Schizosaccharomyces pombe: one gene and its partners. The gene in region 1 interacts genetically with each later gene. Each region holds a gene or a part of one and is shown in the gene's direction. Other genes may lie near its edges.

Region 1 (5,758 bases):
AAACGATTCCTGTGGATTGCCAAGGTGCTTCAAGAGCTGTAGCATACGCTGAAGACCTAGCTGAATAGGCATCCTACGTGAGCGATAGTAAAGGAGGAATTTTAATGCTGTATTATTAAAAAATAATGATTCTTTACCTTTATAAGCTCGTAAAAACTTTAAAAGTACTTGGTCATGTGAATATGTTTTGCATGTGGAAGCGAAGATAATACGTTTTCTGTTGCAAATTAGTATGTTAGTAAAATTCTCAACAGAAGCAATTAGTTATGTCTCTGACGAGGTAAATTTTAGATAAAAAGAATATGTTTTATAAAAGTTATTTTATTCGTATGCTGCATAATATCATTCTTTACTTAGGTTTCAAACATACCTATGAAGAAAACCTTAAAACAATAGCGATTTCATGAATATTATAAGAATAATTTAATTCGTTCTAGTTTAATAAGCATCATTTATAGTATGTGAATGCCAGTCAATAAAGTATTTGTGATATTCAAGTCAACTGAACAACGTTGCCTCCGCCATCTACTGGTTACTACAAAATGACTGATTATATCAAAGATAAAGCTATAGCAGCTGATTTTTCTTCAGTTCAATTTCGTTTTGATAACTATTTAAAGCAAAATTTTAATTTCGGAAGGTCTGCCTTGCTAAACTCTGGAAATGGACGCGATTCTGGATCGAAAATGGGTAGCGTGGTTTGCAAGCATTGGTATGTATATATAAAGAAGAGTAATATGAATATATATTTCATGTATTTTTCTATTTGTTTTTGTTTCTACCTTCATGATAACTAATATTATATAAGGCTTCGTGGACTTTGTAAAAAAGGTGAACAGTGTGATTTTTTACACGAGTACAATTTAAAAAAGATGCCTCCATGTCACTTTTATGCAGAGCGCGGCTGGTGTTCTAATGGCGAAGAGTGTTTATATCTCCATTTGGATCCCAGTAAACAAGTTGGTGTCTGTGCCTGGTATAATATGGGATTTTGTCCTTTAGGACCTATATGTCGAGGCAAACATGTACGAAAACCAAGGCCTTGCCCAAAATATTTAGCTGGGTTTTGTCCGCTAGGCCCTAATTGCCCAGATGCTCAGTAAGTTTTTTGAAGAATTATAGTGTTGACTTTCTCTTTCTATTACTAACATGTTCTAGTCCTAAACACTCTGAACCTCCGCATCCTCCTCAAAAGCGGAAAGACTGGTAAAGGATGCGTTTTTTAATGTGTCACTGTATATTAGGTAATGAAATCAAGTTATCAATGGAGTATATGCAATTAGTGATGCCGTACATTGATTATTGAGATTTTTTTTTATGGAATAAAATTAATTATCGACGTTGGGTTTGTCTTGGTTGCGGCGAACCAAATCGACACATAATCGGGATAATAGAAGTATTTAGAAACCGAAAAATAAGTTTTAAATAATAAGTCTCCCTTTTACATATGTTTTTTGCAACATAGAAGGAAAAGAAAATTTAGGAACTTAAGTATCGTTTACCAGTATGTAAAACGCTTACGTAGAGCGCCATCGTAATGTATCAAGGACGGTTTATTCATTTAATCATTCATACGTTATTCGTAAAATATTTGCTACTTTCCAGTTATGTTTCTTATTTTTTTGTAATTTACTTATCTGCTGTATTCAATTTTGCAAACTATAAAAACAATATGGATCTTTTATATGACAATGAACTTCTAGTTTTTTATAATCAAAAACACCTTTCTTTAGCGTACAAATGATTAAGGTTTCATTAATGGGAAATTGCCAACAAGTTTTACACTGGACTTTGTAAAGTTGAGCAAAAAATCCTATGTGTAGTAAAGCGTAAGATGAACACTGAAGTAATGAAATAGTGTTGTATTTATCAAAAATCCATTAATAACTTAAAGTCGCTTAAGGCTTGATTTACCGATAAAAATTTTACTGAGCTTTTGACTCGCCGAAGAGTGGTGTAGATTCGTTAGGGTAGCAGCATTTGATACGAACCATCAAGTTAGGAAAATCAGCAGCCCTCCAAAAAAGCCAGTGAAAACTGGGAAACTTTGTATCAAAACTTTTGAAAAAAGATCCAAAGACGGTATAGAGATACCCTTAGAAATTTGAAGATCAAGATCTTCGTATACAATTGAAATTGGCAAAGTGTACCAACGGGAACGAAATCTTAATATAATACGAGTAGAAGATGGATGATATAGAAGACTCTTTGGATCAGTGGAAATTTGCCCAGTATGTAAACGATGTGTGAAAAAAATTAATGACTAACTCTTTAGATGCTTTGGTGACAAGGGTGATGTGGAAGACATCACTGAAGGTATTGGTTTTGAGTAGTTCTCTCATAAAAGAGTTCTCTTTTACTTTAATCACTGAATAAATGACTAACAAGTTTAGCCGATATCATTTCAGCAGTAGAATTCGACCACACAGGTGATTATCTAGCAACCGGCGATAAAGGTGGCAGAGTCGTTCTTTTTGAGCGAAATCATTCGAAAAAGGGTTGTGAGTATAAGTTTTTTACTGAATTTCAAAGTCATGAACCCGAGTTTGATTATCTCAAGTCCTTAGAAATCGAAGAAAAGATCAATAAAATTCGCTGGTGCAAGAGGACTAATCGAGCGCATTTTTTACTCTCAACGAATGATAAAACTATAAAATTGTGGAAACTATATGAAAAGAATTTGAAAGTCGTTGCCGAAAATAATTTGTCGGACAGTTTCCACAGTCCTATGCAAGGACCTTTGACAACACCTTCGCAACTTCGACTCCCACGACTCAACCATCATGACATGATTATCGCTGCATATCCACGACGTGTTTACGCTAATGCACACGCATATCATATTAATTCGATTAGCGTTAACTCTGATGCAGAAACTTACATTTCCGCTGATGATTTACGTATCAACTTATGGAACTTGTCCATCTCCGATCATTCATTCAACATAGTTGACATTAAACCTGAAAATATGGAAGAACTTACGGAAGTTATTACTAGTGCCGAGTTTCACCCGATAAACTGCAATCATCTCATGTATAGTAGCAGCAAGGGAAATATCAAACTCTTAGATTTGCGTCAATCTGCGCTCTGCGATAATCCATGTAAGCTTTTCGAGGATCAAGAAGATCAAGATTCCAAGAGTTTCTTTTCTGAAATCATCTCTAGCATTTCAGACGTTAAGTTCTCACAAAATGGCCGCTATATTCTTTCAAGAGATTATTTAACTCTTAAGATATGGGATGTCAACATGGAAAAAGCTCCCGTTAAAACTATTCCATTGCATGATGTTTTGCGATCAAAGTTATGCGATCTCTATGAAAATGACTGTATTTTTGATAAATTCGAGTGTACCTTTTCTGGTGACGACAAACACGTTTTATCAGGAAGTTATAGCAACAACTTTGGGATTTACCCCACAGATAGTTCTTTGCCTGGCGATAGAGGACAGATAGTTTTGCAAGCCGACAAGGCTGCATTTAGAGCCAGAAAATCTGCTGCAAATAACGTTCCAAAGTTGAATGCTGTGAAAAATAATGATTGGCGGTCACAACCTCAAGCTGCGATGGGATCTGCTTCTGTTGGCCTTGATCCTGATAACCTGGATTACAATAAGAAGATATTACATGCCAGTTGGCATCCCTTTGAAGACTCAGTTGCCATCGCCGCTACTAATAATGTACGTTTGCTTATCAACTTTTTGTTTACTAATGTTTCAATAGCTTTTTGTTTTCTCTAAGCTCTAATGTCCTTATGTGGAGTTTGGTTTGTTTTTATGATCTACGGATAGACTGAACATAGTTCCTTTTTTATTGAACTTCCGGGAATAAGAGTTTTCTTACCTTCTTCTTTCAGATTGTATTCTTATATACACACACCATTTTAACCATTAATGACAGAAATAAAGTTTTTAGGACTAATGATAAAAGGGTGCTTTGTTTATCTCCCTTCATGTATGCCGTGAATCGATACATATGTACTTTGCTATCCACAGTATTTTTCTTTTTCTCTTTTTACGTGTTCCTTTTTAATCTTGAAATTGTGGTGATGCATCGTAAATTTCAACGTTTTTTCAATATCTCACAAAGTTTTTTTCTCTTGTTGAAAAAAATCTGAATTTGAAATCGTAAAAGTACTTTTCAGGTTAAGCTTCACCATTAATTTACCTTCAGCTCTTTTTTGTTGAACAACGAGTAATAATGTGTTAAGTTTTCTATATAAATGACGGGAGATCGATTGCAAAAATATGACTAAATGTCATAAAGTCTTTGGTTCACTAAAAAGGCTACAATTATTTTTACTAAGGCATGATTCATCAATGCATAAGAAATGATTATTTATACGTATTTTGCACCTGAAAAAAAAACCTAGTAAATTGAGGGAACATTAGTAGCTATAGTAAAAAGAGTAGAAAATCAAATGTAAAGCGAATATATGTATAAACTGAATCATATAGAGTATACCAACACTTAGACTCAATAGGATCTTAAATGCTGAATGACTTTTCTAAAGAATGAAAGAAGGGGAATAGTATAATTTTCGAATGAAGCAATGCGACTGATAAAAGAAACTCCTCACAAATTAGGATATTAACTGAAGAATATGAGTTGAAGAGACAAAGCGAGCAAACAGTGAAAGACGATAATTCCGAACAATAAAAGTTTGCACAAATTTGATCCGGCTTGCTGACAGATAGGATATAAATTTCTAGTTAAAAACACAATGGAAATTAACAAACCAATCCCTGTAAGTACATATTTGACAATATGGGAGGCCAAAGTAGATAGCAATCCAAACGGAGGAGTTGCTAAAGAAACGGGAAGCCAAACAATGTTAGCATATCCATATAAACACAGACAGTCGAGTAACTTAGGGTTGCATTTGTTCCACACTAGGATACCCCATAACAAAACGGCGATAATGGTAGTGTAACCATAAATAATTGATGCTGCAGAGATCAACTTTTTTATAGAATAGCCACTTGTACCATGCCCTGTGGCATAACGAGCGTATTCGGTAATTGAGTTGGAAAAGAATAGAGCCTGTATAACCGTAGTGGTTATCCAAAAAGGACCGTATAAATCGGGACGATCATCTACAACATCAAAGAAATTTACAGTGGGAATAAGAGTATGTATACATCGTTGAACCACATCTTTAGTTTCCACGTTAAATGAATCTTTGATGGTCCATGGCGTCTCTTGCATGGATGCGCGACGAGATTGTAATCTAGGGGCCGGAGGCTTTGTAATGGGAGTTCTCTGCTTATAAAGGTCTTCAGCCTCAAATGTTGTACGACCTAGGTCAGCTTCCGAGTCAATTTCAATCTCATGTGCCATAGTGGTGGTTGGATACTTGTAATGGCTTAGGGTGAACAAAGAAGTTTACTTATTGGAGGCGCTAATTGCATACAGATTTGGTATTGTGAATAAATTTAAATGCATGAAATGTTATTTAATTAAAGAAACTAATTCAGAAAAATAAGATGAAGCTTCTAATTTTGAGATTTGCTGCTTTTTCCAAATCTTAGTCTAGGTTAATTTGATCGTGAAATTTAGAGTACAGCATTGATTTCAACTCTTGAATGCGGGTTTCGTCTTTTTCCATGGAAGATCTTAATACGTCGACTTGCTTTTCCAAACTTTCTTCTGACTGCTCAAGCTGGTCAAGGAGTACAGGAAGGGAAACTTGGAAAAAGGCATCGCCAACCTTTAAAGCTGGAATATCGTCTCCATCATCCTCGTCTAGTAATTCACATTCA
Region 2 (5,837 bases), on another chromosome or scaffold:
TTTATATTTTGTGACTATGTGAAATAGCTAACTCAGTATATTTAGCTAATCGTGTTTTGCCCTCAAAAATTCCTTTGACCCCATTTGTTAAGAGGGATGATGATTCTAGTTCAACTCAGGCAAGTTACTCTACTACTGTGAGCGATGTTGTGATTGTCACCGACAAATCTTGGTCGGATGGTGTAGAAACCATTTTGTAAGTCATGCTTGTCATTTTATGGAAACTATTTGTTTGTGTAAAATTACTAATATTATTTTTAGTCCTTATAGTTACACCGAATATCAACCATCTACTACTTACACTTCTGCACCTGCCGGATCCATTGGATACGCAGCATCCATTCCCAATACAGGGCGCGAATTGATGGAGAGTGGGTCCCCTGTCCGGTTTTCCAAGAGTTCATTATTGATTGTTTCACTCTTGAGCATTGCTGCTTTTGCCGCTTTAGTCCTTTAAAAATTCAACCGGAACCTACCCCCTAACATTCACCTGAAAATTTCTCTTTAGGGATTTTCTAAACTTAGATATAGTTTTTGATTCTACTTTACTCTTTTAAAATTTTTGTTGCTACTTACACTGTCAATTCTATATCTGCGCTCGATAACCGGTTTCTTTTTTTAGGCGCTTTGGCAAACTCGTCTCATCCCTTTAAATAAAACACACAAAGGGAGCTCTCTGTGAGAAAATTCAAAACTCTGAAGAAACATCGCTTTTACTAGTGAGGAGCCTTCTAGAAGTAACTACGAAAAGAATTTGCTTTTCTCATGGGTAAGTAAGGGTTTGCCTACAGTTGAGTGAGTCATCAGTTTCAACAAATTTCGTTCTTTTCATAAATTCATTGTTCATGTTTTATTTCTGTTTTATATGTTATTTTATTTTATTTTATTTGAAAATGTTTTTTGTTTTTCAGTTCTCTTTGGATTTATATACACTTTGAAGGACTTGTACGAAGCGTCCAGTGTATTAAAAGTAGAGCATTGGTATACAAATTGCTTTTCCGTTAAATTGCTTTATCTTTTTTTTTCGCTTGTTGCACAAGGAACTGAAATTTTACAAAACGCATCGTACTTGGAAGTTGCAAAAATCTGATGGAAGGCATAAATAAATGACTTGTTTTGTAAAGAGGATATTGCAATCCTAACGGTGGTATTTACATGCTTCTATAATTATTTTAAAACAAATAAAGTTAATTGGTCTGCTAAGCTACACATACGCGTAAACGGCATTTTGCGTTTGTCCGCAGATAATTGTCAAGATAATTATTTGTATTGTTTTGCTATATACTTCGTTTTGTAAATTGATCCATTTGAGTGCTGTTTCTTGACACGTGTAGTATAAATCCTATGTTTCAATTTAGGTCACTACAAACTTGAGCAAGTTACCACTTACAAGAGTACACCAGCACTTTTAATTTCTCTATATTAATATTCCATCTTTTTGACATTACTAAGTTAACTAATTTAATAGCTGATATGTAAAACACCATTGCAAAGAACTTTTATATATAGTGCAATCGTACGAGAAAAGGGTCTATAATTTTTGATCATTATACGACAAACCTGCGTAATGTGCCGACCGTATCGGTAGCTCTCCTTATAATATTTTATCGAACTCACGTTGTTCTGCCGCAAAAAGCTGCTGTCTTGTACCACTTGTATTTTAGGAATACGGATGATCCGAGCTGGCCACATCTACTGACTGCCAATACGACCTAACAAAGGGAATATCAAACGAAAGCATTTTTGACATCAAATTTTATTTCATTGACTTTAACGTATTTAGTGCTGTCGATTGGTTTCAATTTCGTCAAAATTTCCGCGAGGTGAAGGCGACTTTGCTCAAAGTCGTAATACCAAAATCGGCTTAGAAATCGACTTTATCAACGAAGCATTCCTTTAGTAGGGATTTTGGAATAAAAGAGATTGCGATTTATTTTGAATTTTAAAATCAACACCCTTGCTTACTACTTATCGGGATTAGATTTCTTTGACGAATTTACTACTATACTGACATTACCAAACGCCTGTATCCCCTTTCGTTTATTCAAAAAAAATTGCAACTTGTGCTTACTTTTTATTTTATTTTTTTTTTGGATTTGATTTGATTGTTCGTTCGTATTCGCTTACTGGTACACTTCCCGTTTTTGTCTTCGAATTAGTCCATAAATACGTTTTTTGTTAGATTGAAGCTTTTTTGCAGCCTCGTTACCTTATTCTTTATCATTTTCGTTATATTAAAAGAAAAGATAGAGGGAAAGCGAGCTTTTAAAAATCAGTTCATTTTTTTTTTCTACTCCAAACAGACGTTACCGAAATGTCCTGGAAACTTACAAAGAGTATGTATTCCATAATACGGGTTATCACACTCTGTCTTTCTTTTTCATACTAACAGCTTTTCGCTTTTTAGAATTAAAAGAAACTCATCTAGCATCCGCTATTGGCCTGAACTCTGGCGGCTCTAGTTTTACTAGAGGTCTGAAAAACAGTACTTTATCCTCTACTTCTTCTCGTAAATCAAGTGATGAAAAATCTCGGAAAAGCTCGGAGGATAAACGGTCTCCCCAAAGTACCGTCGTGCAGCCTGGTTTATTGCAGGTCACAATTATAGAAGCTAGAAATTTAAAATTACCGTCGGGACATGTTCCTGCCAACTACGGGGTTTCCATTGACAATTCTTTACTTGCCCCTCCACTTAGTAATGGCTCGGGACACGCAAGGTCTCGTAGTCATGCTTGGTGGTTACCTTATATCGTCGTTGAATTCGACAAAAATGAAATCTTAGTAGATGCTCTAAATACTGCAAGCCTTGAAAATCCTTGCTGGGATTATCAGGCAACTTTTGACGTTTCCCGTTATTCCAAACTCTCCCTGAATATTTACCTTCGTTCTTCATCCAGCCGCTCGCGCAACGGTATGGGGAATGACGCTTTCCTAGGCGGGATTAAACTGTCGCCTTCTTTCATTGTAAACAAGCTTACAGACGAATGGGTACCCCTGCATGGGGGTAGCGGTGAACTTCGTGTTCAAATGCTTTACAAACCCAATCAAAGTACCCCTTTAACCATTGATGCATTTGAACTATTGAAAGTGGTTGGCAAAGGCTCTTTTGGAAAAGTCATGCAAGTGCGTAAGCGTGACACTTCTCGTATCTATGCTTTAAAAACTATGAAAAAAGCCCACATTGTATCTCGCAGTGAAGTAGATCACACATTGGCTGAGAGGACAGTACTTGCTCAAGTTAATAACCCTTTTATTGTTCCATTAAAGTTCTCCTTTCAATCTCCCGGTAAGCTGTATCTTGTCCTGGCCTTTGTTAACGGTGGTGAGTTATTTCATCACTTACAAAGAGAAGGCTGTTTTGATACATATCGTGCCAAATTTTACATTGCTGAACTACTTGTTGCTTTGGAATGTTTGCATGAGTTCAACGTTATTTATCGAGACTTAAAACCGGAAAACATATTATTAGACTACACCGGTCATATTGCTTTGTGTGATTTTGGACTTTGTAAGCTAAACATGGCTAAAACCGATAGAACGAATACTTTTTGTGGCACCCCTGAATACCTCGCTCCTGAATTGCTTTTGGGTCATGGTTATACAAAAGTTGTTGACTGGTGGACTTTAGGTGTGCTACTTTACGAAATGATTACAGGACTTCCTCCTTTTTATGATGAAAATATAAACGAAATGTACCGAAAAATTCTTCAAGATCCCTTGCGATTCCCAGACAACATTGACGAGAAAGCAAAAGATTTATTGAGTGGATTGTTGACCCGCGCTCCAGAGAAGCGGCTGGGTAGTGGAGGGGCGCAAGAAATAAAAAATCACCCTTTCTTTGATGATATCGACTGGAAAAAGTTATGCGCCAAGAAGATACAGCCACCCTTTAAACCAAGCGTTGAATCAGCTATCGATACTAGTAATTTTGATTCTGAATTTACATCGGAAATCCCAATGGATAGTGTTGTTGCCGATTCTCACTTATCTGAAACCGTTCAACAAAGGTTTGCCAATTGGAGCTATCAACGACCAACAACCATTGATACATCCGACGACATTAATACAATAGCACCTGGAAGTGTCATTAGGTGATGAATTTGACACTTCTTTGTTTATTTTGAAAGTTTTCTCATTTTTACTCATACATGCCGCTTTTCTTGCCTCTTTTACATATTTGTATGTTATAAAGGCCAAAGCTTCGTTCATTTCTCATTATTGTCATCTTTTTTTGTCGTACAAGATCATTTTCTATTACTATTATTATTATCATTATTATTATTATTATTACTGACAACCTCAAGTCTTTGAAGATTATTTATTTTTTGTCAGCTGAGAAAAAGTCTCAGATATTGTTGGATGTAGTGTTTTTTGTTCTTGTAGTTTCCGAAATTACTAGTGTAGAAAATTGATGGAAAACTCTTTTTAATTATTAAGCATAAGAACGTAACGGCTATTGAAAAGGGAAAAAAAGACGGAGATGTAATTAAAGGTGAAGGGGTAATTAGTAAAATTACATTTCAAAACGTAAAGGTAATAAACAAGAGTAATATGAAAAAGGTAAAAGAAACCAGTACTTTTAGGTTGGAGCGCCAATCCACCGAGCATTATGGAAGAAGTCGTACACCTGTTCGACTTTATTAGCGTCTAAGTGTTTAAATAAATTAACTGCATCGGTTTTTTGAAATGGTTTTTTGGAAGTCAGTGAAGCCGATATTAAGGCAAATTTTAGAGCCAAAAATGGTTTAGGGAAAATCTGCAGTTTTGAGCAAAGCGCTTGCTCATCCTCTGAAAGCAGTTGCCGATCAGCGGAAGCAGAAAACATTGTGGGAGTCGCTGGTTTTCGAGGAACAATCTTTTGAATGTCACGAACTTGAAAAGGAGCGGAAGTGGTTTGGTTAAACGACTTAACATGCCTCAATTGCTTATCATATGAAGCAGAAGCTTTACTTAAGAGGAATTTTTGCGTTTTATCGCGTTCATATTTATGTCCTTGTTCGAGTGTAGTAAGACCCATCTGTCGCCATTCCTGTAAATCAGAAATTTGTTTTTTTAGGGTTATTTGCTCGTGATAGCTGTTCACGAACTTTTGGTAATCAGGGCCCGTCAAAAGTCGAGCAAATGCTTTTGTTTTATTAAGTAAGTTTCGTTCCTCTTTTGACATGCGCTTCTCATTCGCCTGTAGCCGTCGATAATCTAAAAGGTTGTGATTGAAAATGGTTTGTTTACGAACAGCCCGACGAGTAAGACGGGAATTATATATGTTAAGCATAGTCAGCTTAAGTTGCATTTCATGCTTTGCTGACTCGTGTAAATCGTCATCAAAATTCATATCCTTTATGGGCAGTTCAGCTTCGTTCATGTACTCTTGATCAAATTCAAGACGGCCCGGCATATAGCCTTGGATTTCGTGGCATTGGGGTGTAGATGCTAGAGGCTTTTGAGGAATAATCGGTGGAGGCTGAAAAGCTTCAATACGAGCTCGTTTCCGTGCCGCAAATGCTATGCGATCCACCGGTCCAGGGAGCTCTACGCTTGCTAATGGATAGCAATCCGACTCAATATAGGTTTTCAGATAATGATCCCGACATTCTTCTTTCGTCCGAGCATTTCCCACATAGTCTGCAATGTCAGCCCAGTTTCCAAGGCCCAGTGTTTCACAAGCATCGATTAGTAAGAGTTCCTCATCAGCACCCCAATTTTCGTCGAAAATAGGGTATGAATTGGTTTCAATAATCCTATACGGATGAGACGGATGGTGAGTTCCTAGGGAGGCACCAGATGTAAAGCAGGGGATGCACAAATCGAAGTCAACACATTCTACGCACCGAATATGA
Region 3 (5,785 bases), 1.3 Mb from region 1:
TTCCTAAAAAGAAACCGGACTTCAACGAACTTCGAAAGAAACATTATTTTGCTATGGCTAAGCCCTTGAAAAGAGATGAACTTGAAAGCAGTGGTACAGAGAGTGATTTAGAGAGAGATAATAGCGATTCTGGGTCAGCTTCTGATGTAAATATGAATGAAAATGAGTGAATCACTTTATTAACTTTACGCATTATTGAAACGTGAGTTGCAAGTACAAAGGATCTTGAGTTTCATTTATTATAACGTCAAACGACTGCAAATTATTTTTTCGACCTTCAAAGTTTTATTACATGAGCTTTTGCGTCTTCTCCGTTTACGTTTTTTATTCATTTCTATTCCCCTTTTTTGCCCTTTTCACTTTGGTTGTACAGTTGTTCTGCTCGGTTTATATTAAAACCTTTCTTATGAACTTCAAATAGTTTAACGGCTTTCATTTCATTTTTATGCCCTTTTAGCAGTCTAATCCTTCATTTATGGCCGCTAACCCTACCCATTCTTTTTTTTTCATAGTATACAATTTTTTATACTTAAATACTCATTAAGCACATTTTTTCTTTATTTCGTTGATAGGTTGCTTAAATTTGTATGAAACACGAATACAGTTGTAAAATGCAATGAAGGAAATAATAATATTGCTTAGTGGAAAATACTTCAACTACAAGAAATTGTAATCCTTGATTTAATAAAGACGCATGTCGATTGTCTTATTTAAATCCTGGCATAATAATATAATCCTGAATAAAACAATAGAGCTATAAGCTTCGTTAAGACTGATTAAAGGCATACATAGGCATGACAGATATGAATATTGTTAGAAAGGTGACCGACTAGTCAGTTTATACACCTCTCCGACCAGATCGTTTAAAGAATGTCTTTACAATAAAGACTTGAAGAGCAGAAAGAGCGACAACCATTATAGATTCAGCAAGACTAAACCAAAAGATGCGGGCTTGAGTAGACTTTACAGTAGAATAATTACGATGCTCCCGAGTTTTGAAGTAATTTTGTACACGGTCAATTTCAGATAATGCGGTTGAGATCTCTAAAACAGTACTTTGCATGCTGTCCTTTTTGTAGTCTTTGGCTTCATCACGGGTTAATGCAGGAAGAGAAAGTTCATTTTCCATAGTGATTTCCATAGTCACAATTTTATCAGTAAACGTAGACATATGATTATCAAAACAGAATTCATATTCACCCTTTTCTTCGAGGGTGAAAAATACATCAGCCTGTCTTCTCTTTTTGCCAAGTGCAACGGTCTTCTGAGATGGTGCCTTGATCATATAATCGACATCAAAAGAACCGCCAGACTGAACAGCGTACGTGAAATGTGTTTTTTCGCCAGTGTGAAAAGAATCTAAGTAGTAACACTGCTTCTCTTGGTTTTCTAACTTGAATGTTAACTCAATAGCCGAAGCTAAGCTGGCGAGCAAAAATAGTGTTATGCCGCTTAGAGTAATTACGCGCATTTTCTATAAAGTAAGGTTAATCTTCAAAAATTTAATATAACTTTTAATTCCAATGTATCAAAACAAATTCACTTACGATATGTGAGTAGTTTTATGCTCAGCTGCAGAGTAGGCTGTTGCTACGTTGAGTGTTGACAGTGTGGAATATGCTGTATCGCAAAAGGCAAGTATCGATAGCGTTCTGGGAATATAAATTAGAGTATTAGTCTTAATAAATACTCTTAAAACAATTTTACAAATTTTTCTTCTTTTAATCATTTACAAAATTGTTTATGAAAATGAGTATAAACCCAGAATCATCAGCATACTAATAACAAATAGTAAACCTTCGAAAAATAAAAGCAGAAGTTTTTCTTCTTAATTATCAAAATAATTTGGTGGTTTTAAATGATCTAGTCCCAAACATAGTTTAGAAAGGAAATCGTTCAAAACTAACTTTCTTTACTATGATATCATATAATAAATATTCAAGTAATATTGGTATTATTATACTTCTTCATGATATTATACAAAGGTCAAACAGGTTTTCATGCGTGAATGTCCCATGCTCTTACTTGTTCTTAATGTATTGTTGTTATTTTTTTTTATAATTTACATTGATTTTAATGCGACTATGGTTGCAATTGACTAATGTATCTAATGCATTCGTAAATCAGAGATAAATACAAGTTTAAATAAACGATCTGTAAAATATATTCTAGTCAATAAAAAGAATTTAGAATAGTTTACAAAAAATCATTTTCTTGGAAGTTAACAGCAACATTTTGTTCGCTATTCGTTATTAAAAAATCAAAACAATCGTAATATGATTAATCAAAGGTTAGGAAGAAATCAGCTTAAAAAGCAACTATGCCTTTCGTTTTTTATTCATTTACATTGAGTTAAAGACACTGTTAGAGATACTTACATCCTTTGCATTGGTTGATACCCTTTATTTACATTGTTTTACCCAGATCATCTACCGCAAAATAATGAATCCTTATGTTTTATTTGGACGCGCTGTGGCTCACAAAACCTGTGCCATTGATTAAGTAGTAGGCTTCTCTATCTCGCCAAAACAGGTATGTCATGAAGAATGAGAGATTCCAAAGATGCCGTATGTTATTCTTTTTCGTTTCTTTTTCTTACTAACTATTTTTTAGCTGGATGATAAATCAGGGTCATTCACTAGTCTTCTTCCCCCGTTTGGAAAACAAAGGTTTGACTTTACCTCGTCTTTTAATTCACATTCCTATATTAATATTTTTACAATCTAGAGGTACTAGCCCAAATGATGCTATTCCTATTAAGAGCCCGCTAGAAAGGCTAGCGAATAGTGTAACATCCCCGGAAAAGCCAACGGTTCGAACTGCTATACAGAAGGATTCACCAAGGCGGAAGCAGATAGATGATGATCAAACACCTCCTAAGCACTTAAAACGCTCTTTTCAAAATGTTACAGTGGTTTCTCGTAAGTCGCAACTTTTTTGCTCTGATCCATGTGTAAAGCATGAGGAAATGCAAAATGTTTAGAACAATTCCTCTTCTTCAGTATCAATAATTGATTTTTTAAAATAAAAACTAACTTATTTTTGCCTCTTTTTGGCTACTTTGTTTAGCACGAAAAAAGAAAACAATTGATGTGGTCGAGCTGCCTTTCACAAAAGGGGGTTATGGAGGTTTTTACGATCCTAGGCCTGGGTGTTTAAAATTTACTACCCATGAAATAAATGTTTCTTACACAGATACTAGCATTCCAGTCATTCACATCCCTGTCCAATTGTTGAAGCGGTGTTGCTGGCTTCAAGGATGGAGAGACAATTTGGTGGAATCTCCAGTACATGCTATTCATTTAACCTTAAAAAATAGAGATATGAAAAGAATTACGATAGGTGATTCTGCCAGTTTATTATTTTTATACAACCCATTACATGTAGAATCCGCTAGAGCTGGCCTTGATCTTTTGGACCAATCTGACTTTTCTTTAACATCTCCTAGTTCGGCTAAAGAATTTAAACAATTATTGACTTTAAAACAATCCACGATCATCCCTCGCACTCCCCAGAAAACTGTAAGGTCAATTGTTAAACAGACCTCGTCTCCACATTCCTCAAAAATGCCTAAACATTCCCTTCCATCCTCGCCAACTCCATTTAATTCCAATTCTGGTGACTCTCTTCTTTCCAGGATTAAAAATTCGAACCAGTCATCGTCAGAGCGTCCAACGGCAAATAACGGAGCTCAAGAGCAAAATCAGTCATCAAGTTCTGCTGGAAACACTTCCAATGACTTTTCAACTTTATGTTCTCAAGGTTCTGATAAAACACTTCTGTCTGATGCATCTTGTACCACTATTCTCGTATATCCGTTTTCTGGAACAAATTCAATTGCCATTACTAATACCGACCTTACAAGACTCAATGAGGGAGAATTTTTAAACGATACTATTGTTGATTTTTATTTGAGGTAAGTTTTTTTTTTTTTTTTTTTTTTTTTTTTTTGGAATCTTCGCTTCTTTTAACCTCAAAAATTTAGATATTTATACTGTAAATTACAAACACAAAATCCTTCTTTGGCCAATGACACTCATATTTTTAACACATTTTTCTATAATCGTCTTACTTCAAAAGATAAAGATGGGTATGTAACAGGCTTTACTTCTATCAATTATTTGATCACTAATGGGTAATATAGCAAGCGGCTAGGTCATAGAGGAGTTCGAAAGTGGACTCAAAAAGTTGACCTTTTCCATAAAAAATACATTATTGTTCCTATCAATGAAACATTTCATTGGTATCTAGCTATTATCTGCAACATTGATCGATTAATGCCTGTGGACACAAAACTGGAAGAGCAGGATGAAATAGTTATGTCGTCTGTGGAACAACCGTCTGCTTCAAAGACTAGACAAGCAGAATTAACGAGCAATAGGTATGTTAAAGGTTTACAATTTTATTGATTAAAAGGAAAAATATATCATAAATCATTTGATTCAGTTTACTAAGTTAATTATAGTCCAGCAATTTTGATTTTTGATTCTTTAGCAAATCTTCATAAAGGAGCATTAAATTACTTACGTGAATATTTACTGGAAGAAGCTTTCGAAAGGAAAAATGTACATCTTAAGTCCACTGATATACGGGGGTTTCATGCAAAAGTCCCGCAACAAAGCAATTTTTCTGATTGTGGTATATATGCGTTACATTTCGTCGAACTATTTCTTGAAACTCCTGAGCAAGTGATAGCCAATACTTTAGATAAATCTCTTAGACGGACGGATGCTAAAAACTTCGACCAACAGTGGAACCTTCAAAAGATTAACACGATGAGATGCGATTTGAAGGGTTTAATTCGCCGTCTGTCAACTGAGTGGTCGTCTAACAATGAACGACAATCGCTTAGCAGCGGAAGCAACGATGAAGAAGATAAAGAAAATGATGATGATTTGGCAATATTGCCAATCACAAATTAGAATTTACAAGGGAATTAGGGAAATCATAATTTCATATTAAAACTTAACGAAAGCATTATTATCAAAAATTTTAGCGTAGAAAAATCAACAAAATTCATGTCTATATCGTGTGTATGCTAGCATGTATAACTTCGCTAGCGACGTTTAGTATACAGGTGCTTCCGAAATAAGGCATGATGTTCTTTACTGTCCTTTTTCAGCTGTTTATTAGCACTCTTGTTATATTCCACGTATGCCATATTGTCGGCACCAGCCAATGTACTTAAAGAACCACTAGAACGTTTAGCTTTCGCCGGTGCTCTAGAGAGACTTCTGGATCCAAAGCTAGTATCCTCACCGTCATCCAAATCAGCTGCTTCTTCATTTTGTAGCAATACTTCCTGCAAAAGCTCAAGTCTCTCCGCTTTGGAGGCGTAAGCCAAATTTGGCAAGTTCTCCATACCCTTTAAATTAGTGATGACTTTAAAAGCATAGCCTTGGTCAATTAAAAATGCTTGCCGTTTACTGGAATAATACATTTCCTGAGTGTCTTTAGATACCAAGCTATAGAAAAATGCGTTAAAGCCTTCATCATTTCGTCGCTTGGCACGAAGAATACGCCCCAAACGTTGAGCTTCTTGACGCCTAGAACCATAATGAGAAGAAATCTGAATCAAACAGGTTGCTTCAGGAAGATCAATAGACGTATCACCAACTTTAGAAAGGAAAATGGTATTTACAAGTTCATTATACTGGAAATTTTCCAAAATCCTCATTCTTTCCTGCTGTGGAGTTCCACCATAAATAAAATATTTGCCTAATTTTATTGCATAAGCACGCAAAGCATAGACATTGTCTGAAAAAACGATAATTTTATCACCACG
Region 4 (7,314 bases), 170 kb from region 1:
CTCCAAAAAGTCCTTGCTATAGGGTCTACCATTAGAGGTAATTTTCATTAATCGAGAACATTGTTGACGTTTATCGCCGGAATCTATTGAATTTCCGTTGCGATAAGACGTAACAGCTTCATAACTGGGCGGTGGTGAAGAAGGGTTATGAAGGGCGGGCATCCAAAGCTGATTCTTACTTTTACGAATTTGTAGCCTTTTATCATAAATAATAAAGTGATGAACAAAAGAATTGTGATCTTGCTAAGCGAAAAAGCGACAGAGATCGGGCAGCCAAGCACAATGGAGTGTTAAATATTGTTTCTTTTATTTTTTTAAAAGATAAAAGAGAAGTACAGAACTCAAATAAGATAAAAGAAATTTAAATATATAGTAATAGTCCCACTTTCTTGATTACCGTCAATTTTTATAATCAATTACGGGTAATTCGATACTAAATCAGGTCTCCAGCTGTTTTCAATAGGTCTGATCCCTATTAAATTTAAAATCGAATGAAGGATTGGAGCAATTTTGTAAACGTCGATATAGGCACACTGATGAAAATTCGGGAAATGCCTTAGTATTTATACTTCGAAGTTTCCCATCTAACCATTGCTATACGCTTTCTTTTAAACAAAGAAATCATTAAATGGCGAACAATGGGAACTTTAACGGAACAAAGAACATTGTGCAATTGATTTGTTTACCCCAACAAATTAACAGTGAGAAAGCAGAACAAAGAAAACAGGTAGCAATTTCCACCTTTCGTCAACTTATTCCGAAAGGGGTTTTAATGAATCGGTAAATTTCATGTGATAACACCGATTGAATAATAATAAAAAAAGAATCAAAATAAGACATTTAAACAAGGATATGCAGTCGCTTGCCTATTTTTTGAAAGGAAATATTATATAAACTAGTAGAAGGAGATATGCTATGGCTGGATAATTCACAGATGGTTGGTAAATAAAGCTTACCCAGCACTCCTGGAGACTGGGGAAAAACAAAAAGTAAAAGAAGTAAGCAAAAAAGGATTATAAACAGTTACAGATATTTTGATACTTCTTAGTTGTTCACTGCATCTCTCCTGTTAGTTCCATTGGGTACTGAAATGACCCCAAAATATGCAATGAAAATGAAATGGCTTTTGTTATGAAACTTTACATCGCCAACTTGGAAGACTTTAAGATATAAATTAAAAAATATTGGTGTTTGTAATTATTTACAAGCACCGGCTTTCCCTTTTCCATGACTATATTCTTTTCTACTTTGCGCCTTGCAACGCTTCTTACACCTGCCCTATAAAAGTTTTTTTTTATTAATGAAATATTTTCTCTCTAAGTGACTGTAACACACTGTGGAATAACATAGCAGTTAAGAGTATGTCGTTAAAAGTGCTTGAATATGTTACCATAATATTAGACCGACTCAAATTATTTGCCCTCTAACTTCCTTTGAAAGAAAAGTTCCCTAGGAATCCTTAATAGTAAAACCGTTTTCTTTTTATTTTTACATGTTTATTCAGAGAACTCTCAATGTGTTTTCGCATTGTTTGCTTTCGTATTTCCTCTGTGCTGAAAATGCGAACACTGCCTACTATACTGTATAGTCCTAGAAATCAATACTTAATACATTCTTTAAATTTTGGAGATGGATCAAGTACCATGGTATAGATGATGTTTACATAATTTGGATAAAAATTACAACTTACTTTACTACTTATGATTCCTTCAAATAAAGCTTGTTTAAAACAACGTTCCTCAATTCAATTTTTAGCTATATAAGTGTAATTATAAATACTTCTTGGTATTCTTAACGAGTATTTTAGGATATTTATAACTATTTACAATAAATTTATTATACTATGTACATTACACTAAAAAATATCATTGCAGTACTATCGTATCTTAAAAACGAATTACGACCTGTATGGTTGACATGTAATCTAGTTAAAGGATTTTTGGATAGCGCTGTATAATTTGGTTGAAAATGCAAAGACTAATTAAAAAAATGTGGCAGACTACGCTATCCTCGTTACGTTTATCAATGCTGCCAAGACTTGCTATCAGTATAATGTCGCATAGTTGTATATCAACGTTGACTTTGCCAACTTTGTACGAATGCCGCTGCAATCGCTAGTCAAAGCATTATGGAACGTCCTTCATGAAGAAGAATCGGAAGGCTATCCCGATTTGACTGAGTTAATTGCGGAAGTTGAGTCGTATCAGCAGCGTTATCCCAAACAAAACCCCACTAACTCACAAAAAATAAGACACATCTTGGACGAGATCTACGAAAAGACGCCGTTCAATAATACAAGGCGACGGATACTATGGCTAGCTGTGTTGAAAACGGTTATACCGTTGTTGATTTTGGATCGCCAAGCAGTTGGTGAATGGTGGGACCAGATCTTTTTTCCTTTCTTGAATTCTCCTACCCAATTGAAACCGGTATTTAGTGACTTGAAAAGTATTTTATTTTACATTTTAATTTTTCACGACGAGGATGAATGGGGTGGAGACTTGAGACGGGAGTGCGCTGAGGAAACTATCACTCGTTTGGTTGACCTTTACGTTTCTAAAGCTATCGAAAATCTAGGTGACGTGGAATCTCAAGAGCAAAGGAATCAAACTATTGAATGCTTGGTTAATGTTCTCGTCCATTATGGGATACAGAGACCAAAGGAACTTTCTTCTTGTTTTTGTCATCATTTTTTAAATCCTCCAACCCGAATCCCTATTTTATCAGTTATGGTTGAAGTAATACGGCGGCAAGGTCCTCGTTTATATGAAATACCACAGACTGGCTTCTATGACCTTGTTTTAAAATGTGCGGAATTTGATACTTCACCAATCTTACTGTCGTATGCATTATCTTTCATCCTTATGATACTGTCTCACATTTGTAACTCCTTAGACGATTCCTTATATAGATTGTTCTGTATCTATCTTCGATTTTCAATGATTGACCCGACCTCTGGCTTCCCATCGTCTACTGCGTCTGGTAATTGGGAGGTGTTTCACGATTTTATGTCAACGTATGCCTCAACTACCACCTCTCAAACAGATAGCTCTTACAATGATGTTCATGATATTGTTGGTTCTTCTCAACCAGATTATCTCGAAAGTCTTGACTACTCTCAACTTTTCTCAATTTTGTACGCTCTGTACCCTATAAACTTTTTAGAGTTTCTTCGGGATCCTAAGTTGTATGCTTCTAAACATAATTTCCAAATACGTTATTCCTTTAATCAAGAACTCCTCTCCACAAAGTCGGATGGTCTTCTCGGTAGACATTTGGCACATTCTAATTTTCTTAAATATACAGCAGAAACAGAACTTACCGATAAATCCCGTTGGACAAGACTTGATTCTATTGCTGTAGTGGCCCTATGTAATAGTCTTAACGCTGTTGGAATAGCCGAAAGTGTTATGGATCCTTTTGGTGGTAAGCTTCCCACCACTTATGAAGAGACAAGTTCAGCTACTGGATTATTGGCCTATCCAAATGAAAGCCATGATATTGCTTCTGAGCCTTTTTCCATATCTTGGCCTCAAAATCCATCAATATCGGGTTCTGTTCATTCCGCGACTACATTTGACAAAGCCCAATTATCAAATACTGAAGATTCTTATGATAATATTTCGCATGGTACATCATATAGTGAAGGTGTTTCCTCAATTCACATGGTTAAAGGTGAACGCGGCTCAAATAATTTGGAACTGACTAGTGAAAGTTTGAGCAGCACGAACGATACAATTCGACGCTTACAAAGGGATCTGCTATTTCTTCAGAATGAGCTCCGTTTTGAAAAATTTGTTCGTCAGCAGCACTTGCAAAATATTGGAAAGCTTCATCGTGAGCACATACTAGATATGGCTGTGGAATCAGAAAGGCAAAAATTGCTTTTAACCAACAAAAGATATAAAGCTCAGATAGAGTTACTGAATTCTGAAATTGACAAACATCGCTCAGAATCACAGGCAGCTCTAAATCGTAGGGTTAAGTGGGAAAATGATTTTAACAACAAAATAAAAGCGTTACGAGAAGAAAAGAAAGCTTGGAAAAGTGAAGAATCAGAACTCAAATCATCAATTGAATCATTAATCTCGCAATTGGAATCAATACGAAATTCTCAAATTGACATTGCGTTTTCAAAAAATCAACTGGAGTTGAAGCTTCAACTCTATGAAACTAAGTTGAAAGAATATGAACAGCATTTGAGCTGCGTTAATATCTCCAAAAAGCAAGTCTCTTCGAGCTCTGATACTTCTTTTGGAAATACGAAGATGGACAGTAGTATGATTCTCTCTAACAGTGAAGCTGTTAGTGATGAGCAAGAAAGAGAGTTGATCGAGTCAGAAAAACATCGAATGAAACTGGAATCAGAAAACTTGCATCTTCAAGCTAATATTGAGCTACTGAAAAAGGACCTGGAAGCCATTAATGTTGTTTACGAGGCTAAGATTTTTGATTTGGAAAAACGACTTTCATCTGAAGCGAACGCACCTGAGTTGCATAATCCTGTCAACTTAAATTACGACGCTCAGTTGTCTAAAATATCCGAAATAAAAGAAAATTACGATGAGCTATTAACGCGGTACCGTGAGTTGGAGGGCAAGTTTTTAGAATCACAAGCTGAGGTCGAAGAATTAAAAAACTTTCAAAAACCGCTTGTTGATACTGGAAGCTCAATACACAGTAGCCCTGGTTTGCAACAAAGCAAGTTCATAATTCGTAATGACTCTTTGCATCCTAAAGTTGGCCCGCCACGTAGACAGTCTACTGATACAAGTCGTTCTACGTTTCGCCAATACTAAGTAGGTATATTTTTGAAGGTCCTTGAAATGAACTGGTCAATTATGATAAAACATACTTGCTCATTCCATATAAAATAATTAGATTACGATTTTTCACGACCATCATAATTCTGTGTATGAATCTCCTTATATAAAGATTTTTCATTATTTCCTTGTAATTACAAATTTAGTTAGATAAGAAAAAAAAGCTGACATCTAGTTAAAGCTTGAAACGTGGATCATTGAATTTTTCTTCTTTTCTCTTCTCGAGCAGATCGAGATGTTCTATCCCGTGGACGATCTCTTTGCTGTCGTGAATCCCGATCCCTTCGGTCGTCTTGCCTGGCCCTACGACGAGAATTTTCTCTTTCATCTTCCTCTCGTAGGTTGCTCGGGCTTTGACTATCCGAAGATCGGGGACGTTTATTTGAAGCATAATGAGTGCTACGACGACCATCTGCATCTCTGGAATCATTTCCCCTATTAGATCCATTACTTCTTCCAGCCCGACTAATAGCATTATTCTGCCGAGAATTACTCTCGCCAGAAATATCTTGCCTTTTGTTTTTATCTTTCCCTTCTGTAACCTCATCACGTTTATTATCGTTGCTTGTCCTATGATTAGCTTCAGACGAGCGCTCTCTTGAAACATTAGTGCTATTGTTATTAGACACTCGAGGGTTGCGATTTACGTTTCCATTTTGGCGCCATCTGTCAGATTTCTGTGATTCATGTTCACGCCTAGCATTTAGGTTTTGTGCTTGCTGAGGCTCGCGTCGAGTATGACGAGACACGCTCCTTAAATTATCGTTGTTTTCATTTGTAAAACTTCTTGATTGAGGTGTTCGGTCTCTAGACTGATCCTCTCGCAATTTACTGTCTGATCTTTGTATATCCTCATTCGTAGGGGTGCGTGTTCGTAAAGCACGTCTGTTTCCTTCAGGAGTTGTTTTTCTACGTCTTTCTTCTTGTTTTCTTTCATTAGCTGAGCTTCTAGCTTCAACCCTTTTCTCTACTGCCTTGTTCTCAACAAGATTTTTATTGTCAGTTTCAGAAGCAACTGCGTCGGAAGGCGTACTATCAGGTACAAACTCTGGTGCACTAGGATTCAAAGCTACTTTCTGTTTATCAATCTTTGCCTGTTCTTCCGATATGGAAGCAGTTTTGGAATCAACTGCTGATGTAGCTGCCACTGAAAGTTGTTGCGGTCTCTGAAGCTTTTCTGAATTACTCGGCCTTACAGTACCAGAAAATGAATTAAAAGAAACCCATTCTGGTTGCTTTTTTGAGAGCTTTGCAAAATACCCCAAAGCCAAAACCTTTAAATCTTCTCGTTTTTCTTCGTCCTTTAATCGTTCAGCGGCTCGTTTCAAAGCACTGCCACTTTCAATTATCAATGGGAAACATGGCAAAATTTTTTCCAAGATTATGACACTATTGTAGATATGCATATATTCAGTAGATAGTAAGCATGACTCAAAATAAGATGTTAGATATTTGTGCCATTTACTAAATAGCAAAACAAATTTGTTATAAGGAAGGACAGCGGAAAGATCGGGATCATTTTGTTCGTCAGACCAATATAACCTGAACCCAGGCAAAGCACCATTTGCCAAACATTCGCGTTCGTAAAGAATTTTGTCCCTGTACCAGCTAGTAATATCATAGAGTACTTCGTATAAAAATCTTCCAAAATTATCAGCCTCTCGTTGTGTCATTGAAAAAATAAATGAAGGCAATTGTGAATTAAACAAAATTTCTAAAAATGACATAGTTGAAAAGTTTGGTGTTCCAAGACTGTGCAAAAGCTTTACAAACTTTGCGCAGTACAAAGCATCATGTGGGCTCATTTTTAAACGGGGAGCAATGCAGAGTGTCCACAAATACCGAGCACAGTTGAATCTAGCATGCTCAAGTCTTGTACCATTAGGAAAAACACCATTTGGAATAAACCATTTCACGCAGTCACCTTGCAAAACTTTTCTTACACTCTCAAGTGAATTAATGTGTTCTTTAAGTTCATTCTGTAAGCTGTTAGACAATTGCATTATTTTTTGTCGGTCGTGTCGATGTCGTGAATAAAATGTGTTAGCGGCGTCAGTTTGCCTAATTTGATCAAAAGCCCGAGAACGCTCAAACTCATAACGTTCCAAGGGAACAAAAACATCATACAGCGATAGCTTCCAAAATGTTAAATAAAAATTAGGTGAAAAATAATCCCAAATTTGTTTAGGTAATAACTCAGTTATGACAGAATTGTCAATACTCCAAACGGGGTTGCTAGCAGTGTTTGGAGATGAAGTATTTTCATAATCAATATCCATTGCATCCTCAGTATTTGAACCAGTCAAACTGTGATCTAAATTTTTGTAACGCGATAGATAAAATGCAACCTGAGGTTGAATATGAAAATCTTGAATTAATTGCTCAAATGAAGGAATCAATTTATAATAGCTCTTTGGAGAGCAAACCATATTAAGAAATTCCATTAAAAGATAAAGAACATCAGAGCATTCGTCTTGAAGAGAAGAAATAA

Evidence for each region.
Region 2: of pab1 (region 1) and gad8, changing one suppresses a phenotype caused by changing the other (phenotypic suppression), as found in Schizosaccharomyces pombe (one study listed by BioGRID).
Region 3: of pab1 (region 1) and ulp2, a mutation in one rescues a mutant of the other (synthetic rescue), as found in Schizosaccharomyces pombe (one study listed by BioGRID).
Region 4: of pab1 (region 1) and tsc1, changing one suppresses a phenotype caused by changing the other (phenotypic suppression), as found in Schizosaccharomyces pombe (one study listed by BioGRID).

What each region holds. Positions count from the first base shown.
Region 1 is NC_003424.3:506,121-511,878, reverse strand, and holds pab1 (serine/threonine protein phosphatase PP2A regulatory subunit B-55 Pab1), read left to right. Parts: upstream 1-1,985; 5' UTR 1,986-2,187; coding exon 2,188-2,231; intron 2,232-2,275; coding exon 2,276-2,316; intron 2,317-2,393; coding exon 2,394-3,676; intron 3,677-3,698; exon of another isoform or gene 3,699-3,719; coding exon 3,720-3,743; 3' UTR 3,744-4,357; downstream 4,358-5,758. Other genes in the region: fol3 (folylpolyglutamate synthase), read right to left, coding at 1-72; cleavage and polyadenylation specificity factor complex subunit Yth1, read left to right, coding at 543-712, 809-1,099, 1,159-1,210; yip5 (Rab GTPase-binding protein), read right to left, coding at 4,587-5,336; pfd4 (prefoldin subunit 4), read right to left, coding at 5,524-5,758. UniProt on the Schizosaccharomyces pombe protein: Phosphatase 2A affects a variety of biological processes in the cell such as transcription, cell cycle progression and cellular morphogenesis, and provides an initial identification of critical substrates for this phosphatase.
Region 2 is NC_003421.2:910,803-916,639, forward strand, and holds gad8 (serine/threonine protein kinase (AGC family) Gad8), read left to right. Parts: upstream 1-1,697; 5' UTR 1,698-2,314; coding exon 2,315-2,336; intron 2,337-2,407; coding exon 2,408-4,095; 3' UTR 4,096-4,436; downstream 4,437-5,837. Other genes in the region: SPOM_SPCC24B10.06 (uncharacterized protein), read left to right, coding at 46-196, 262-457; SAGA complex subunit Ada2, read right to left, coding at 4,580-5,837. UniProt on the Schizosaccharomyces pombe protein: Involved in a signaling module for sexual development and cell growth under stressed conditions. Required for G1 arrest under nitrogen starvation and for growth at high temperature and osmolarity.
Region 3 is NC_003424.3:1,763,473-1,769,257, reverse strand, and holds ulp2 (SUMO deconjugating cysteine peptidase Ulp2), read left to right. Parts: upstream 1-2,524; 5' UTR 2,525-2,546; coding exon 2,547-2,567; exon of another isoform or gene 2,568-2,613; coding exon 2,614-2,669; exon of another isoform or gene 2,670-2,727; coding exon 2,728-2,921; exon of another isoform or gene 2,922-3,002; intron 3,003-3,069; coding exon 3,070-3,916; intron 3,917-3,985; coding exon 3,986-4,090; intron 4,091-4,091; exon of another isoform or gene 4,092-4,144; coding exon 4,145-4,381; intron 4,382-4,465; coding exon 4,466-4,922; 3' UTR 4,923-5,025; downstream 5,026-5,785. Other genes in the region: protein phosphatase regulatory subunit Glc8, read left to right, coding at 1-170; erp2 (COPII-coated vesicle-associated protein Erp2/3/4), read right to left, coding at 839-1,471; transcription factor TFIIH complex ERCC-3 subunit Ptr8, read right to left, coding at 5,057-5,785.
Region 4 is NC_003424.3:673,024-680,337, reverse strand, and holds tsc1 (Rheb GAP, hamartin Tsc1), read left to right. Parts: upstream 1-2,078; 5' UTR 2,079-2,099; coding exon 2,100-4,799; 3' UTR 4,800-5,017; downstream 5,018-7,314. Other genes in the region: G-protein-signaling regulator Rgs1, read right to left, coding at 1-162; THO complex subunit Tho2, read right to left, coding at 5,018-7,314. UniProt on the Schizosaccharomyces pombe protein: Together with tsc2, required for uptake of various amino acids from the environment and for proper conjugation. Involved in induction of gene expression of permeases and genes required for meiosis upon nitrogen starvation.